Linked DNA regions of Caenorhabditis elegans. The protein of the gene in region 1 interacts with the protein of each later gene in a pairwise test. Each region holds a gene or a part of one and is shown in the gene's direction. Other genes may lie near its edges. The genes, in order: pyc-1 and cdc-37.

The links.
Region 2: the proteins of pyc-1 (region 1) and cdc-37 interact in a two-hybrid assay, tested with the Caenorhabditis elegans proteins (one large-scale study listed by BioGRID).

Annotation. Positions count from the first base shown.
Region 1 is NC_003283.11:11,816,071-11,825,477, reverse strand, and holds pyc-1 (Pyruvate carboxylase 1), read left to right. Parts: upstream 1-3,112; 5' UTR 3,113-3,125; coding exon 3,126-3,227; intron 3,228-3,277; coding exon 3,278-3,484; intron 3,485-3,528; coding exon 3,529-3,955; intron 3,956-4,001; coding exon 4,002-4,618; intron 4,619-4,764; coding exon 4,765-5,111; intron 5,112-5,158; coding exon 5,159-5,919; intron 5,920-5,963; coding exon 5,964-6,637; intron 6,638-6,697; coding exon 6,698-6,940; intron 6,941-7,198; coding exon 7,199-7,348; 3' UTR 7,349-7,695; downstream 7,696-9,407. Other genes in the region: D2023.4 (Thialysine N-epsilon-acetyltransferase), read left to right, coding at 3-79, 128-379. UniProt on the Caenorhabditis elegans protein: Pyruvate carboxylase catalyzes a 2-step reaction, involving the ATP-dependent carboxylation of the covalently attached biotin in the first step and the transfer of the carboxyl group to pyruvate in the second.
Region 2 is NC_003280.10:576,544-584,250, reverse strand, and holds cdc-37 (Hsp90 chaperone protein kinase-targeting subunit), read left to right. Parts: upstream 1-3,657; coding exon 3,658-3,749; intron 3,750-4,358; coding exon 4,359-4,746; intron 4,747-4,792; coding exon 4,793-5,401; intron 5,402-5,536; exon of another isoform or gene 5,537-5,590; intron 5,591-6,041; coding exon 6,042-6,164; downstream 6,165-7,707. Other genes in the region: W08F4.12 (F-box domain-containing protein), read left to right, coding at 699-823, 894-1,027; fbxb-14 (F-box associated domain-containing protein), read left to right, coding at 1,502-2,140; W08F4.3 (Sigma non-opioid intracellular receptor 1), read right to left, coding at 2,415-2,593, 3,010-3,259, 3,312-3,433, 3,495-3,630; W08F4.7 (CW domain-containing protein), read left to right, coding at 6,519-6,621, 6,878-6,985, 7,460-7,523, 7,575-7,660.

The DNA of each region.
Region 1 (9,407 bases):
AGGATTCATTGCATTTATCGGAGAGGAGCCAGCTGGAATGAACCTTTTTTACTATGCATATTCAACATGGGTTGGGCAGGTATTTATGAAACAGTACTGAAATTCAACCAAAAAATCATCATTTCAGTATCTTCACATGGAAGATCTCTACATTCGACCTCAGTTCCGACGAATGGGACTAGCAAGAACTCTGTGGAAGAAGCTGGCTGAGTTGGCTCGAGACAAAGGAATTGTTCGTCTCGAATGGGCAGTTCTCGATTGGAACAAAAATGCGATTGCTCTGTACGACACTGTTGATTATGTAAATTTGACAAAGAGCGAAGGATGGTTCACTTTTCGAATGGACGGTGCGGCGATAAATAAATTTGCTGATGAATAGATATGTTACTTTTATTGGTATAGAACTTTTGAAATGTTCTGCAATTTAAATAAAGTTATTTATTATAGATTTTTTGAATTTTTAAATTTTTATTTTTACCGGATATTCTCAACCCGTGTGAATTATTTCAACCTCCCAATATTATCGATATTATCTTCTAATTTCCCTAAAATTAAAATTGTGTGAGTCGCCCACATTTTTTGGCAATTTACAGATTGACCTTTTCTCCTTTTCTGTATGACACTTCCTATCGCGTACTAGAGATTTCTGTGCTTTTGATCTTATCGATTTTGATCGGATTACCAGTTCAAAATTGTTTTACCACACTGATTACTTCTGGTTTTTTGATCCTTCATAGCAAAGTTTCAGCACGATCTATATTTGTTTCTTCTCATTTTGACACTCAGAACTTTCTGGGTTTAATTGATAAGCGAGAGGAACAGTACCCAAATTTTAAGAAAATCTATGCCACCTATGTTAGAGTTATCTATTATAAATTTAAACAAGTTGCCATATCCAGAAAATTATCATAATATCCTTTTATGGAATCTTCTGAAAATTTAAATTATTTAATGTTCTAATAATTTAATATAAAACAAAATTTAAAAAGATCAGTATCGAACACAATTTTACAAACTTAATTGTGATGAAAATTTACTTTTTATCAACTACTTTTATATCGTATCTATAAAGTTTTCATAAATTAACATTTGTTCTATGTACCCTTTGATCTTTTCACTTTTGACCTCTAATCTCAATGAGACATCAATTATTCAAAATGTGCACGTATTTTCTTTACCCCTCCTCTCTTTTCATACAGCAGTTCTGAGTACGTTCATGGTGCATCGTTTTCTAAACTCAACAGTCGTGTTTCTTTCTCACAAGTCTTTTTTCCTCTACGTTTACGAGTCTCTTATGCCAACCTCGTGATCGCCAGTGATTGCCGAAAGTGCGAAGAACGATCAAAATTTGAAACTTATCGAAGCTGGTTCTGTGATGTTTTGATTAGTACGAAATAAGTCATGTCATGATAGATCGAAAATTCATAGATTCTGAGATTTTCGATTTTCAGCGATAATCTAGCTATCAGATAAAATTTATGTAAACAATTTTCACATAGTCTTTCAGTTTCCAACCCTGAATTTCTAATTTTATCATTGAAATTCTTTCGTTAAATGGAATCCAAATCTTGTTTATTGGCCAGTTTAATTTTATTAAATGTGTTTCATTGATCATTAAATATCATTATGTTGATCTTTAAAGTGAACTTAATTAAATCATTTTTATTTTCAGCCCTTTACGAAAATTAACTATCCCACTACGACCAAAAACAGTTTTGAACATTTTGACATTTTGAAAAATCGAAGGTTCTGAAGTTTAAATCATTTATCCTCCTCCTCTGCGTCTCAGTTTTTGTGTTCTAGTGTCCACCCGAGTCGACTGATAAGACAAAATGACACAAACACCGTCTCTCGGCTATCAGTTTGTTGTCGCCGCAAATTCATAGCCATGGTCAAAGTGTTGATCTAGTTCTCTTTGAATCTAGATTTTTTTCAAATTTTTAACTTGATTGTGATACTCTAAGACATTTTATATCTTTAAATCCGCAAAATTAAAAAAAATTATTATAGTGCGTCCATAGTCTGCGGAAAACGGGAATTTCCCGCGTGCGGAAGCGTCCATAGTCTGCGGAAAAACCGGAGTTCCTCGCTTTTTTTTTCCTCAAAATTCAAAAAGTAGGCGTGGCCAACCAATCAGCTGTTGTTTCTTGTTTTCCCATTGCTCAGCTTAAAATTTTACAGCCTCTAATTGGTTGAACACGCCCACTATTTTGAAATTGACCAATAACAAAGCGAGAAACTCCTTGTTTTTTTCCGCAGACTATGGACGCTTCCGCACGCGGGAATTCCCCGTTTTCCGCAGACTATGGACGCACCATTAACACTAATCCCCGAGATATCAAAAAAAAAAACTAACGATAGAACAGCAAAAAATATTGGAATATTTGGCCGTGCGGAATAGATATTTAATATGGCATGCTCATAAACCATTCTAAAAACTAATTTTCTAATTTTACAAAAATCCAAAACTGAATGTTGAACGTTCTGTGGCTTCTGTAGTTTCTGTAGTTTCTGATAACTTCCTTCTTTGTTTACTTTTATTTTTTTCAATTTTCCTTATTTTCTCTAGGTTCTTCGTCTGGTCTTGGGTATGCCACGTGGTTCTTCTTTCACATCTCATTTCACCGAAAAAACCTAGAAAATCGAAAAACAAAATATTTTATTTTCTTCCCTTCTCCTATCATTCTATCAATGTTATCAGTACTGTTGTTATTCTTCTCTACAAATATCACTAGGTGGTTCTATGGAGAATGAACAATGATTTTTAAATCAATTAATGTATCTTCATACATACACTCACTCTCATGTGGTGTGACCTCTTGGTCTTTTCAAAATCTCTATTGCTCTGCGTACGTGACCTTTCACATTTTTCACCGTTCTAATTTATCACGTGGTCAACGTGGATACTTCTAAAAATCTCAAATAATGTCCGAATTCCGAAGAAGTTTACCACACTTCGATTCGTTCTTGAGCTTTCTGCTCTCACACAGTAGAAGGTACACCAAAGTAATGTTTCTGTGTCTCTTCGATGTTCACACTATCATTATTGAATAATCTTCATTGGTTGTATTCACCGAATAGGTTCACCGTCTCAAAACTATGCATGTTTCAGATAAACGACAACGATGCGGTTCTCCCGCATCCCACCGATCTTCGCTAATGTCGTCCGACAGACACATTATCGTAACTATGCCAATGGAGTTATCAAACCAAGAGAATTCAACAAGGTATTTCATTTCTTTTTCGTGCTTGAAGATAAATTCGGAAATTTTTTCAGGTTATGGTGGCCAATCGTGGAGAAATTGCAATCCGTGTGTTCCGTGCCCTCACAGAATTGAACAAAACTTCTGTTGCGATTTACGCCGAGCAGGACAAAAACTCGATGCATCGTCTGAAAGCTGACGAAGCCTATCTTGTAGGAAAAGGTCTTCCACCGGTTGCTGCTTATCTGACTATTGACCAGATTATAGAAACTGCCCTGAAGGTTTGTAGGACAAAAATTGACCAAGATTATCGTACCCTTTATAGCACAACATTGATGCTATTCATCCCGGATATGGATTTCTGTCAGAGCGATCTGACTTTGCAGCTGCTTGTCAAAATGCAGGAATAGTGTTCATTGGTCCTAGCCCCGACGTTATGGCTCGAATGGGAGACAAAGTTGCTGCTCGTCAAGCTGCCATTGAAGCTGGTGTTCAAGTCGTTCCAGGAACTCCTGGACCAATTACAACTGCTGATGAAGCTGTCGAATTTGCAAAGCAGTACGGTACACCAATTATTTTGAAGGCCGCTTATGGAGGAGGTGGTCGTGGAATTCGTCGTGTTGATAAATTGGAAGAAGTTGAAGAGGCATTCCGTAGATCCTACTCGGAAGCTCAAGCTGCGTTTGGAGACGGAAGTCTTTTCGTTGAAAAGTTTGTTGAGAGACCAAGACATATTGAAGTTCAGCTGCTTGGTTAGTTTCAGCGGAAACTATTATAATTACATAATATATTTTTCAGGAGACCATCATGGAAATATTGTTCATTTGTATGAGCGTGATTGTTCAGTGCAACGTCGTCATCAAAAGGTTGTTGAAATTGCTCCAGCGCCAGCTCTCCCAGAAGGTGTTCGTGAGAAAATTTTGGCAGACGCTCTTCGACTTGCAAGACATGTTGGATACCAAAATGCTGGTACAGTCGAATTCCTGGTTGATCAGAAGGGCAACTACTATTTCATCGAAGTGAATGCACGTCTTCAAGTCGAGCATACAGTAACTGAAGAGATCACTGGTGTGGATCTTGTCCAAGCTCAAATTCGTATCGCCGAAGGAAAATCTCTGGATGATCTGAAGCTTTCACAGGAAACTATTCAAACTACTGGCTCAGCTATTCAATGTCGTGTCACAACTGAAGATCCAGCTAAAGGATTCCAGCCAGATTCCGGAAGAATTGAAGTTTTCCGATCCGGAGAGGGAATGGGAATTCGTCTTGATTCAGCATCTGCCTTCGCAGGATCAGTCATTTCACCTCACTACGATTCTTTGATGGTCAAAGTAATTGCATCGGCTAGAAATCATCCGAACGCTGCCGCAAAAATGATTCGTGCCCTCAAAAAGTTCCGTATCCGAGGCGTAAAGGTGAGAATTCAATCAAAAAATGAAATCAAAGTACACCAAATCATGTTGATAGCTATCACCATTTTCTCACTGATAAGGAAACCCATTGCCACTGACTGATATTCTGCCTGATGGCTGATCAATGACTAAACTTTAAACTTTTTCAGACAAACATCCCATTTCTGCTCAACGTTCTTCGCCAGCCCAGCTTCCTTGATGCATCCGTCGATACGTATTTCATTGATGAGCATCCAGAGTTGTTCCAATTCAAACCAAGCCAAAACCGTGCTCAAAAGTTGTTGAACTATTTGGGAGAAGTTAAGGTGAACGGTCCAACTACTCCTCTTGCTACTGACCTGAAACCAGCAGTTGTTTCTCCTCCGATCCCATACATCCCAGCTGGAGCCAAACCGCCGACTGGACTTCGTGATGTACTTGTTCAAAGAGGACCAACTGAGTTTGCAAAGGAAGTTCGCAGTAGACCAGGATGTATGATCACTGATACTACATTCAGGTATAAACTCAAAAAGAAAGTAACATATATTAATTTCACATTTTCAGAGATGCACATCAATCTCTTCTTGCAACACGAGTACGTACCTATGATATGGCTGCTATTTCACCTTTTGTTGCCCAATCATTCAATGGTCTCTTCTCACTTGAAAACTGGGGAGGAGCTACTTTCGATGTTTCCATGCGCTTCCTCCACGAGTGTCCATGGGAACGTCTTCAAACTCTTCGCAAACTGATTCCAAATATTCCATTCCAATGTCTTCTGCGAGGTGCCAATGCTATGGGATATTCAAATTATCCTGATAACGTTATTTACAAGTTCTGCGAGTTGGCGGTGAAAAATGGAATGGATGTGTTCCGTGTATTTGATTCACTGAACTATCTTCCAAATCTTCTCGTCGGAATGGAAGCCGTTGGAAAGGCCGGTGGAGTTGTTGAAGCTGCTATCGCATACACTGGAGATGTTACCGATAAGTCTCGTGACAAATACGACCTCAAATACTATTTGAACTTGGCTGATCAACTTGTCAAAGCTCAAGCGCATATTCTTTCTATCAAGGATATGGCTGGAGTTCTGAAACCGGAAGCTGCCAAGTTGTTGATTGGCGCTCTCCGAGACAAGTTCCCAGATATTCCAATTCACGTTCATACCCACGATACATCTGGAGCTGGAGTTGCTGCTATGCTTGAGTGTGCCAAAGCTGGAGCTGATGTGGTCGATGCTGCAGTTGATAGCATGAGTGGAATGACTTCTCAGCCTTCAATGGGAGCTATTGTAGCTAGTCTTCAAGGAACTAAACATGATACTGGTGAGTTACAATATCGTTTGAAAAATGTCTAATTTATATTTAAGGTCTTTCTCTTGATGACATTTCAAAATATTCTGCATACTGGGAGTCAACTCGTCAACTCTATGCTCCATTCGAATGTGCCACCACCATGAAAAGTGGAAATGCCGATGTTTACAAGCACGAAATTCCAGGAGGACAGTACACGAACTTGCAATTCCAAGCATTCTCTCTCGGACTTGGGCCACAGTTCGATGAAGTCAAGCGTATGTATCGTGAAGCTAATCTTGTTCTTGGCGACATAATTAAAGTTACGCCATCATCCAAGATTGTCGGTGACTTGGCTCAGTTTATGGTGCAAAACAACTTGACTCGCGAAACTCTTGTCGACCGTGCCGATGATCTATCCTTCCCAAAAAGTGTCGTTGATTTCATGCAAGGAAATGTCGGACAACCTCCATATGGATTCCCTGAGCCATTGAGAACTAAAGTCCTTCGTGGAAAGCCAAAAGTCGATGGAAGGCCAGGAGAAAATGCTAAGCCAGTTGATCTAGATGCTGTGAAGGTCGAACTTGAAGAGAAACATGGACGTACTTTGTCTGAAGAAGATGTGATGTCATATTCGATGTTCCCAACGGTTTTCGATGAGTTTGAGACTTTCCGTCAACAATATGGACCAGTTGATAAGCTGCCAACGAGACTCTTCTTGACTGGATTGGAGATTGCGGAAGAAGTTGATGTAAGTGATTCTACATTAATCTACATTTCTGAATTTCACGACTTATGAATTTTATTTCAGGTTGAAATCGAGAGTGGAAAAACTCTTGCAATTCAATTGCTCGCTGAAGGAAAACTAAACAAGCGTGGAGAACGCGAAGTCTTCTTTGATCTCAATGGACAAATGAGAAGTATCTTCGTGGTTGACAAGGAAGCTTCCAAGGAAATTGTAACTCGCCCAAGAGCTCTCCCAGGTGTCCGTGGACATATTGGAGCACCAATGCCAGGAGATGTTTTGGAGCTGAAAATCAAGGAAGGCGACAAGGTAATACAACGCATATCTAAAGATGTAATAAATCAATCATGCATCCGGGATATGTATTCTGAATTTCTTTGAAAAACAAAAAAAGACAAATGGGACGAATTCAGAAGCGGTGGGCCCCACAACGGAAATTGTAGGGAAAAACGGAAAGAGATAAATTTATAGCCTTATGCCTCCCACGTTTTTTCTTCTTGTCCTACACAAAAATCACATAAAAAAATGATGGCATAAAAAATGAATATAGGAATTATTTCTTTTCAGGTTACCAAGAAGCAACCCCTATTTGTGCTTTCCGCCATGAAAATGGAGATGGTCATCGACTCTCCAATTGCTGGAACCGTCAAGGCTATCCATGCACCACAAGGAACCAAATGTAGTGCCGGAGACTTGGTAGTTGAAGTTGAACCATGAACTGACATCAATAAACTCGCATTTTGTCTCTTTTTTTGTTAATTCCATTCACCATCACAAATTCCGCCACATCGAAATTATATTTGGCGTTGTGCTATATAGAATGATTAGCCACCACCTTCTCTTTGCCATTCGAACCATCTCAATGTGTATATTCTGTGTATTGCCTCCCCAAAATTTTCTAAACGTCTTCATTGCCAGTAATTTTTCGTTTTCCCTCCACTTTTGCATTTATATTGTTTTCTTAGAAAAAGTATTTATTGCATCGGGTGCTCATTGTCTTTGTGTAGAATATAAACTCGTTCACTTCTCTCTCAATTTTATCACTGAAACTCACCGAAGAGCAATGCAACTCGATAAAGCAACTCGATAAAATCAATTATTACGTAGAAATCTAATGATGGGAAGAGTCGCCATATCATACGCGCATTGGTCTCGCCACGCGAACTGCGAGCTAGCTCGTCTCACTTTACTGACCACTATTGCTGAGAAGATTTTTAACATAAAAATAGGTTGCAATGGAGACTCATAAATCAACAGGAGTTACAGTAATTTCGTGTTTGCTGGGGAAAATGTTTATCTTTAGACTTCTACATAATACCTACGTTAGTGTAAATAGTACTATTCACTACGCCATTTAATTTAAAAAAAACAAAACACAAATTATAGAGACTGAAATATCTGAAAAGAAAACGTATGTTTTAAAGTTTTATTTATTTTACTTGGGAATGGTTTCAGAGAATTTAGAATTTTAAAACAAATTTAGTGCCATTCGATAGCTGATATTATGTACTTCTTCAACGTAAGAGACCATTTTTGCCTCGGACATCTAGAACTCGAGATATTTGCGTCTGAAAATTACTACTGATTTCAGTTGATTTTCAACGTAAGCCCAACTATTTATTTCATATGGTTAAGAGTTTTTACGTGAACAGAATATACTTCAAAAAGATTTTTATTTATTTATTGTCAGTTCAAAATCACGGCTCTGTGGCTCAACGGTTCTGGGCTCATGATCAGATGATCCAAAGTTCAATATCCTGAAGTCTAACGTTTTTTTGCAATTTTTTACAGTGGCATAGGATTGTTCATATAGGGCAGACAGAACATTTTGACCCGTTTAAAATATGATTGTTTTTTCTTCTAAAACACTCAACTAACAGTTTGGAGAAATAAAAAAAACAAATATTTTTTGACATTTTGACAAAAAATCCTCCATCAAACCCATGCAAAATTTTGCTTCAAAAAATTTTTTTGAAAATTTTTTCTTAACTTCTGAAATAATGTAGAGGGCTTTGCTAGTTTCCACAAATTTAAACGTCCAAATCACAGTTTTTGACAAAAAAAAAACCGGATCTATTTTCACCGTCGATGCTTGTGAAACCACTTGTCTTTAAAATCCCAAAACTCTGTCGGAAAATTTTTTCTGGAAAAGTAATCAACTGGAAAATTATAGATCATGATTCAAACAACAACTTTTCTGTTGAACACTTTACGTAAAAAAATTTGGTTGTAGAGATATAAACGCTTGAAGTAAAGCAACACGGTCTGTTAAAGTTACAGTGGATTTCATTACAATATCTCTACAACTAAATTTGTTTTAAAGTTCTAAACCCTCTGCAAATCATTCCCTAGTTAGACTACATTATTATCGGAAAAGTACGATCGCACAATTTTCTCATAATTTATTTTTGATCTACCTTGTTGACTAGGCTCATCCCCGTCCTTCGACAAGACAGCCACAACAAAATAACAACGGCAACCATATTGGGGGGGGGGGGGGGGGGGGGGAGTCAAGTTCAACAGGTAGATCAAAAATAAATCATGAGAAATTTGTGCGATCGTATTTTTTGATAATTATTTTATTTTATTTTTCTGAATTAATTTTTTTTTAAATTCAGTCAGACTAGAATTTTCTACCAGAACCTGTCTAAAAAAATTCAAAAATTTATCTTCTCAAGGTTCTTTAATACGTGCATTTTTTCAGAATCTGAAAGTCGTCGCGCCGGAAACAGTCCCATCAATTCAAAAACAGCAAAGTGATCGCTCTTCAATTGGA
Region 2 (7,707 bases), on another chromosome or scaffold:
GTAGGCGGCAATATACCATTTTCGGCAGTTCCAAACTTCTGCAATTCGTCAATTATTGAGTTCAAAAAGTTTGGAAAAAACTAACTTCTACTCTACTCGGCAATACGGTCTAACTTCATAGCATACTCTTGCAACTTCTTAACAACAATTAGGCATGTTAGCTTTTAAGCAAACTTCTGCAGCTTTTCAGACGACTTTTTCAATTTCTTCGCAGATGTAAAGCTAAATTTCGCTCACAATCCCGTTGGTTTTCGCAACTTCTTCGCAAGAAATACGGTACATATGTTTTAATACGAATAATTAACATGAAAAACATAAAAAATGTAGAAAAAAACTTTTTTTTTTGGTCGACTTCCAAAATTATGAGTGGCAAAAACTGAGTAATTGCCACTTTTTTGCAGTTAATAAAAAACTTTCAGAAATTTTTTGAAACGTTTTATTGTGATATGCAGCCAATGTTCCAAAAAGTACACTGAAAAAAATTAAAAAAAAAAGACATTTTTGGCAACTTACCAAAACTTTTGCTGAAACTTTAACAATCTGAAAATTTTTGGACAGTTTCATTTTGATATTCGGTCAAATTGAACTATTGAATTCATACTGAATCCCCACTGACGATTCATTCTTTAAAAAATTAATTTGGAAGAAACCCCAAAATAACAGCTTCAAGTTGACTCCCAAACCTTATGTTATTTCAGATTCTCGATCTCTCTACTCTCAGCAAAAGCGAAAACTGCGGTTGCCAGAGTCAACGGGAACCACGAAAGTGTGTCATTCTCTGATTCGACAATCAGGCTGAGGTCCAGTCTCAATGACAGATATTGTAAGAATCTTCACGATCCTTGTACTCTCCCACCGTCATACAAGAGCATTACTTTCGTATAGTCTTACAGGTCCAGCAAGTGATGTCGTAGCGGATAACATCACGGTTATCCGGCCAGAACCGCTGCCCAAGACAACGACTAGGCCTGCCAACGTTTGGAGGTCACGATGCAAGCGCGCCCCACCGGACGGCGCGCGGATCTGAATTGCCGGCGCCAACTCTAATTGTCATCATTCTCGACTTTTCTTGGCCCCGCCCAATTCCCCTATATAAGGAGCCGGAAACGCTCATTCTAGGTCTTCTCTAATTCCTTTTACTTGTGTTACTTATCGTCCTTTTCCCCTCCTTACATGTCCCATTAACTCGGTGATTTCTCTATTAATTTATCCTTAATAAACCGTAATAACCTCAAAACCTCCAACTCTTATTATTCTTTAAAGAATTAATTTGGAAGAAACCCCAAAATAACAGCTTCAAGTTGACTCCCAAACCTTATGTTATTTCAGATTCTCGATCTCGCTACTCTCAGCAAAAGCGAAAACTGCGGTTGCCAGAGTCAACGGGAACCACGAAAGTTTGACATTCTCTGATTCGACAATCAGGCTGAGGTCCAGTCTCAATGACAGATATTTATTCATATTTAAAGAAAATCCACCGAGGGTGGTAGCTAGAAGGAATATGCGAGGATCTGAAGACGAAATCGAGATTCCTCACCTCACACTTATCAAGTTCCTGGACCACATCCACGAGGTTTTGCATCAGAACCGGCAAATCCACATTAACCTCGAAAATGGGATGAATGAAGAGATAAAAACGATTTGTTCTCTCTTTGAGAACAGGAAGATCGCGAGCTGCAGCACCACATCCACGGAAGTTCAGGGGCACCATCTCTTCGGGACTCATCCAGAGAACCTGGAGATTGTCGTGGTCCCAATAAGAAAAGAACTCTTGGTTCAAAATTATGAGGAGCTGAAAGTCACCAATCTCACACTGAACGAGGTGTTCTTGTCAAATAGTCGAACGCTTCGTTCATTGCACCACTCAATGACTGCAAAGGATGTCAACTTGTTCTTGAAGATCTGGATTCAGAACTCACAGCTGAGAATCAGTGATCTTGTTGTAGATGGTCTGAATATTGAGCATCCTGTACATGGAACTATTCTCCGCGGAATAGACTTTACTAGATACGAAGATCCTCTGGTCGTGGATGATGGAATGGTTCAACACGTCCAAATTGTGTGCAAAAGAGGGATCAAGGCAAAGGTTTCCCTCACCAGAACTACTGTTCGATTCGTCCGGCTGGCCGACGATGAGTAAGCAGCGACTTTTGATCATCTTTCACTGCAAATGCCTTCAAATACCTGTGCAATTATTTTTTTCGGTTGAGCTATATGGTTAAATGGTTGAGGTGATGAAATAAATATGTTCTTGTATTTTAAATTATGCAATAAAATGGCTCAAGAAATCGAATTACACAACCGTAAAAATGGAAGTAGAGGGGGGACATTGGGATAAAACATGACTGAATAAATGAAAATTTCGGGTTAGAATGCTTGTAGAAATGCACCGGATGGGGAATCACATAAATTATTTAAAGTTCTCCAGTGGCGCGGGCCTTGTAGTGCTGGAAGACACGATAGAGGGTGTGGCTCAGGTTGTTCCAGTAGTTGTAGGCCTGCTTCATGTAGAATTGAATGACCGAGAGTGGCTCGCCGAGTGAGATTCCAGAGGTGACGTGGACGGTGGAGGAGAGTGGGAGGAAGCCGCGACCTGAAAAATATAAAAATTCATTAGAAACGAGGGGATTTTTATATGGGTCTGGTTGACTACAAACTACAAAATTATATTTAGCAGACCAAGCGATTTCAGTTCGAAATTGGTCTGCTAGACTACAAACTACAAAATTATATTTAGCAGACCCAAGTGATTTCAATTCGAAATTGGTCTGCTAGACTACAAACTACAAAACTGTATTTAGCAGACCATGCGATTTCAGTTCGAAATTGGTCTGCTAGACTACAAACTACAAAATTATATTTAGCAGACCAAGTGATTTGATTTCGAAATTGGTCTGCTAGACTACAAACTACAAAATTATATTTAGCAGACCCAGGTGATTTTAATTCGAAATTGGTCTGCCAGACTCAAAAAAAAACGAATTTTCCTTGATTTTCGGTGTAATTTACCGTAGCACGCGACGTAGGTGTCCTTCTCGAAGCTGTACACGTGGGACTCGAACTGTCCGTGCCTGAAAGCGGCTCCCGAAGCAAAGTTCTCCGACGTCTCGTCCTGAGTTCCGTCATTGAATCGGCTGACTTTTCCTTTCAACACGGTGCACGTCGTATTTGCCCAATGGAGCCCCGGGCGTCCTGAAGTTGGGAACGGAGCGGAGAAGGCGGCGGCGAACTCGGTGAAAGCGGTCAGCATTGGGTACATCTGGAAAATTCATTAAATTTAAGATTTTTTTTCGATTTTTCCTGTTCCTCACCCTTAAAGTGAGGCCTCCCAACTGAATAGCGTGCCATTCGAAGTGACTTGGCATGATTGGCTCGTAATAAGTGCGCATTCCAGACGTCAATGTGGAAATTGACTGGGAGATTGTTGGAGCAGCTGAAAATATACAATATATTAAAATTGCGGTATTTTCGCAGAAAAATATGTTTTTCCTCACCAGCAGCCTTTCCAGCGATAGTCTTGAACTGCTTCGGCGAGATGTCATAAGACTTCCAGCGGAGGCCAAATTGAGCAGCCTGGAAGACTGCGTAGAAGAGCAGAAGATACCGAAGCTTTGAGGTGAGAAGAGCCATTTTCACGTGTTGAACTACCCTGAAAACATGGAAATTTGGAAATTTTGCGTGAAAAAAAAAGGAAATACAGTCATTTCGCGAGTTTTCAAGAGGGACAGCGAGTGCGAAGAAGAAAAATTGTGAGTTTAACATTGATTTTTTGAAATTTCAGATGTTTTTTCGCGGAAAAATCAATGGAAATGCTTGAAAAATGCAAGAAATGGCGCTGCAGCGCGCTGAAAATTAAAAAAATCAGCGAAAAAGGAATTGTGTGCAAACACCGTGACGCAGAAGCACACAGAAAACACCATATCTGACGCGCATTGCCACAGAAGGACCGAGAAGAAAAACAAAAGTCATTTTTCGCCTTTCTCATGTTATTTTCGGGGTTTCCTTCGATTTTTTCCACTTTTAGAAGTCTAAATTTAATTCTACAGGCTTTTAAAAATCAATTTGTCGGAGTTTTGGGCCAAAAAAAAGGCCGAAATCCGCTAGAAAACGTAGTATTTCTATTTGAGAAATTTTGAAGAAATTTCTCGAAAATTGCTCAGCAAATAGTTAATTCCACGTAAATCCTTTGAAACATCATTATAATGCCACGTTTTCTTCATGAAATTTCTGTTTTCGTAATTTCACGCGGATTATCCTCGTTGTCGTGGCAACCGAGTCGGAATTTTCCAGCGATTATCAGTTTTCTCTCGCTTTTCCTGCTAATTCCTTATTTTCCACTCAATTTTCTCGATTTTCAGCTCAAAAATGCCAATCGACTACTCCAAATGGAAGGATATCGAGGTTTCCGACGACGAGGACGACACTCACCCGAACATTGACACTCCGTCGCTCTTCAGATGGCGCCATCAAGCTCGTTTGGAGCGAATGGCCGAGAAGAAGATGGAACAGGAGAAAATCGATAAGGAAAAGGGCACGACGAGCAAGAAGATGGAGGAGCTCGAGAAGAAGCTTGCCGCAGCCGATGTCACTGACAAGTCGGATATTCAGAAGCAAATCGACGAGGTGAAGGCGCAAGAAGAAGCCTGGCGCAAGAAGGAGGCCGAACTCGAGGAGAAAGAGCGTCTGGAGCCATGGAACGTCGACACGATCGGTCATGAGGCGTTCAGCACGTCGAGGATCAATAAGGTTTTGAAGATTTTTCTGTGCAAATTGATTAATTCTGTAATTTCAGATCACCGAGAAGAAGCCGCAAGCTCCCAAAACCGATGAGGAGGACACTCATGCGATGAGCACTTTCTTCGAGACTCACGAGAGCCTTCTGGAGAAGATGGCCGTGCTCAAGAACGGAGCCAAGTCGACGGAGCTGTTCCTGGCCGAGCATCCGCATATGGCGTCGGAGTACACTGCAAATTGGCTCACAATTGAGGCTCTCAACGCCGCCATCGATTTTAATGAGGAGAAAATGAAGACGATGGCTGAGCAATGCATCATCATTCAATATCTTCTGGAGCTCTCGAAATCGCTGAACGCAGTCGCCACGAATACCACCGTCCAGAAGCAATTCTTCAAGAAGTTCGAAGCCGCCGAGCCGGTCTACATGAAGCACTATCAGGATGAGGTGAAGGCGTTCGAGGATCGTCTCAGAACACGTGCGCAGACGAAGAGAGACGCCGCGATGGAGGAGGCTGAAGCCGAGGAGAAAGCCGAACGAATGAAGAGTGCTCCGGGAGGAATCGATCCACAGGAAGTGTTCGAGCAGCTGCCGGAGGAGATGAGAAAGTGCTTTGAGGCACATGATATCGAGGCGTTGAAGGGTGTCGCCCAGAAAATGGATGAAGAGGTGAATATTTGGGTCTGCTAAATTGAAATTTGTAGTTTGTAGTCTAGCAGACCAAGTTTCTTCCAAATGGCATTGGTCTGCTAAATCGGAATTTGTAGTTTGTAGTCTAGCAGACCAAGGTTCTTCAAAATGGCATTGGTCTGCTAAATCGAAATGTGTAGTTTGTAGACTAGCAGACCCAAAGTTTTCAATTTTCGCAATGAAAATTGCAAAAATTGATAAATTTTCAATTTTTCAGCGGAAAAATGAATATTTTTCAAATAGAAATTAGCAAAAATTCAGGTTTTTTGCGATTTTTAGTGGAAAATTGTGCGATTTTTGTGTTTTAAGACAAAAGTGCGTATTTTAATATAAAATCCTGAAAAAATCTGAACTTTCGGGGGAAAATTGATCTATTTTCAAATTTTTGAGTGAATTAACATTGTATTCCAAAAAAAAACGAATCAAAAATCAAAATTTTAAGCTGAAAACAGGCATTTTTTAATTTTGGTCTGCTAAATCGAGTTTTGTAGTTTGTAGTCTAGCAGACCAAATTTCTTCAAAACCACCTATGGTCTGCTAAATCGAAATTAGTAGTTTGTAGGCTATTATTTTTAGCCAAATTCATCTAATTTCAACATCCAAAAATCCAAATTTTCAGGTCTTCAAGTACCATTTCGATCGATGCATCGCCTCTGGACTCTGGGTGCCCGGAAAAGCTGACGACGACGACGACGATGAGGAAGCTGCTCCAGCCGAGGAAGAGCCAACAACCAGCTCCTAAATTTCCCCATTATTCCCCGTTTGAAAGTTCCCCTGATCTACTTGTTTTTTCTGCACCGCACTTTACTTTTTCCCCAAGATTCACTGAAAATGGCCCAATTATTTCTTTATTTATTCTACACCCCCCACGACATTTACTGTTTATTTTCCCTCTCGAACACCTGTAAAAAAGTTTTTTTTTGCTTCGAGAATCGTTCCACTTCGTATTCAAAAATTCCAATTCGGAATAGCATAAAGATTATCATCATCAACTTTCTTCTTATTGTGTTTATTCGTTTTTTTTTCTCACGATTTTTTGAAAGTGATGTTTTGTAAGCAAACGTTAGTCTCCGCCTGACAACTATAAAGTTCAATAATGGATGTATTATCGGTCATTTTTTGGCTGAAAATGGTAAATTCGCGGCTTATTCTACTAGTTTTTGTCCCATTTTCCTTGGCACAATTGAGCTTGTATGGAAGTGAGTCTAGGATGGGTCTGCTAGCCTACAAACTTCAAATTTTGATTTAGCAGACCCAATAACGTGCCATTTCGGCGTGATCTACGTAGATCTACAAAAAATGCGGGAGTTGAGGCGCAGAGTTCTCAACTGATTTTGCCTGCTGACGTCACATTTTAGGGCGAAAAATTCCCGCATTTTTTGTAGATCAAACCGTGATGGGAAGAGCCTGACACCACGTGACACAAATGATTTCTTAAATAAAAATAATTTCCAGATTGGACCCCAACTGTCATTCGTTACTGTGAGACGCTCCAATCAGCTACAGTACCCCTGACTGGAGGTGTCACTTGTGGATCTTCGTCGTATAATGTGATGAATGCTTGTTAGTTATTGATTTTCTGATTTAAAAATAATTTAATCTGCAATTTCAGAGTTTTTGGAAAAGTTCAAAAAATTCAGAAAGAATTAATTTTTTTTTCAAACATTTCAATTTTTATTTTGAGAAATGTTATTAGAATGCGTATTGCACAACATATTTGACGCGCAAAATATCTCGTAGCGAAAACTACGGTAATTCTTTAAATGACTACTGTAGCGCCAGGTGTCGATTTACGGGCTCGATTTTTGAAATTAATTTATTTTCGAATTATTTTCTTATTTTTTACTTAGTTTAAATATTCTATAAATTATTTTTATTAATTTCAAAAATTGAGCCCGTAAATCGACACCTTGCGCTACAGTAGTCATTTAAAGAATTACTGTAGTTTTCGCTTCGAGATATTTTGCGCGTCAAATATGTTGTGCAGTACGCATGTGATCCCATAATATGTTCTAATTTAAAATCGATATTTTATAGTTTTCACACTTCCAATCAGTTCTACACTTTCACTTGGACTTATCAATGTCGGATGGATCACCTCGTAATTTTTTTTCAATTTTTTTCAGCTTGAAAAAATTTGAACAATTTTCAGGGAAGCTCTAAAATCTCAATCCGGATTCTGGAAGACATGCAAGCCATATTTGGTTCGACTTTTTGATGGGATATATACGGATACTAGTGAGGAAACTTATTTTCTTGCTGAAAATCGAGTCCAGCTCACCGAG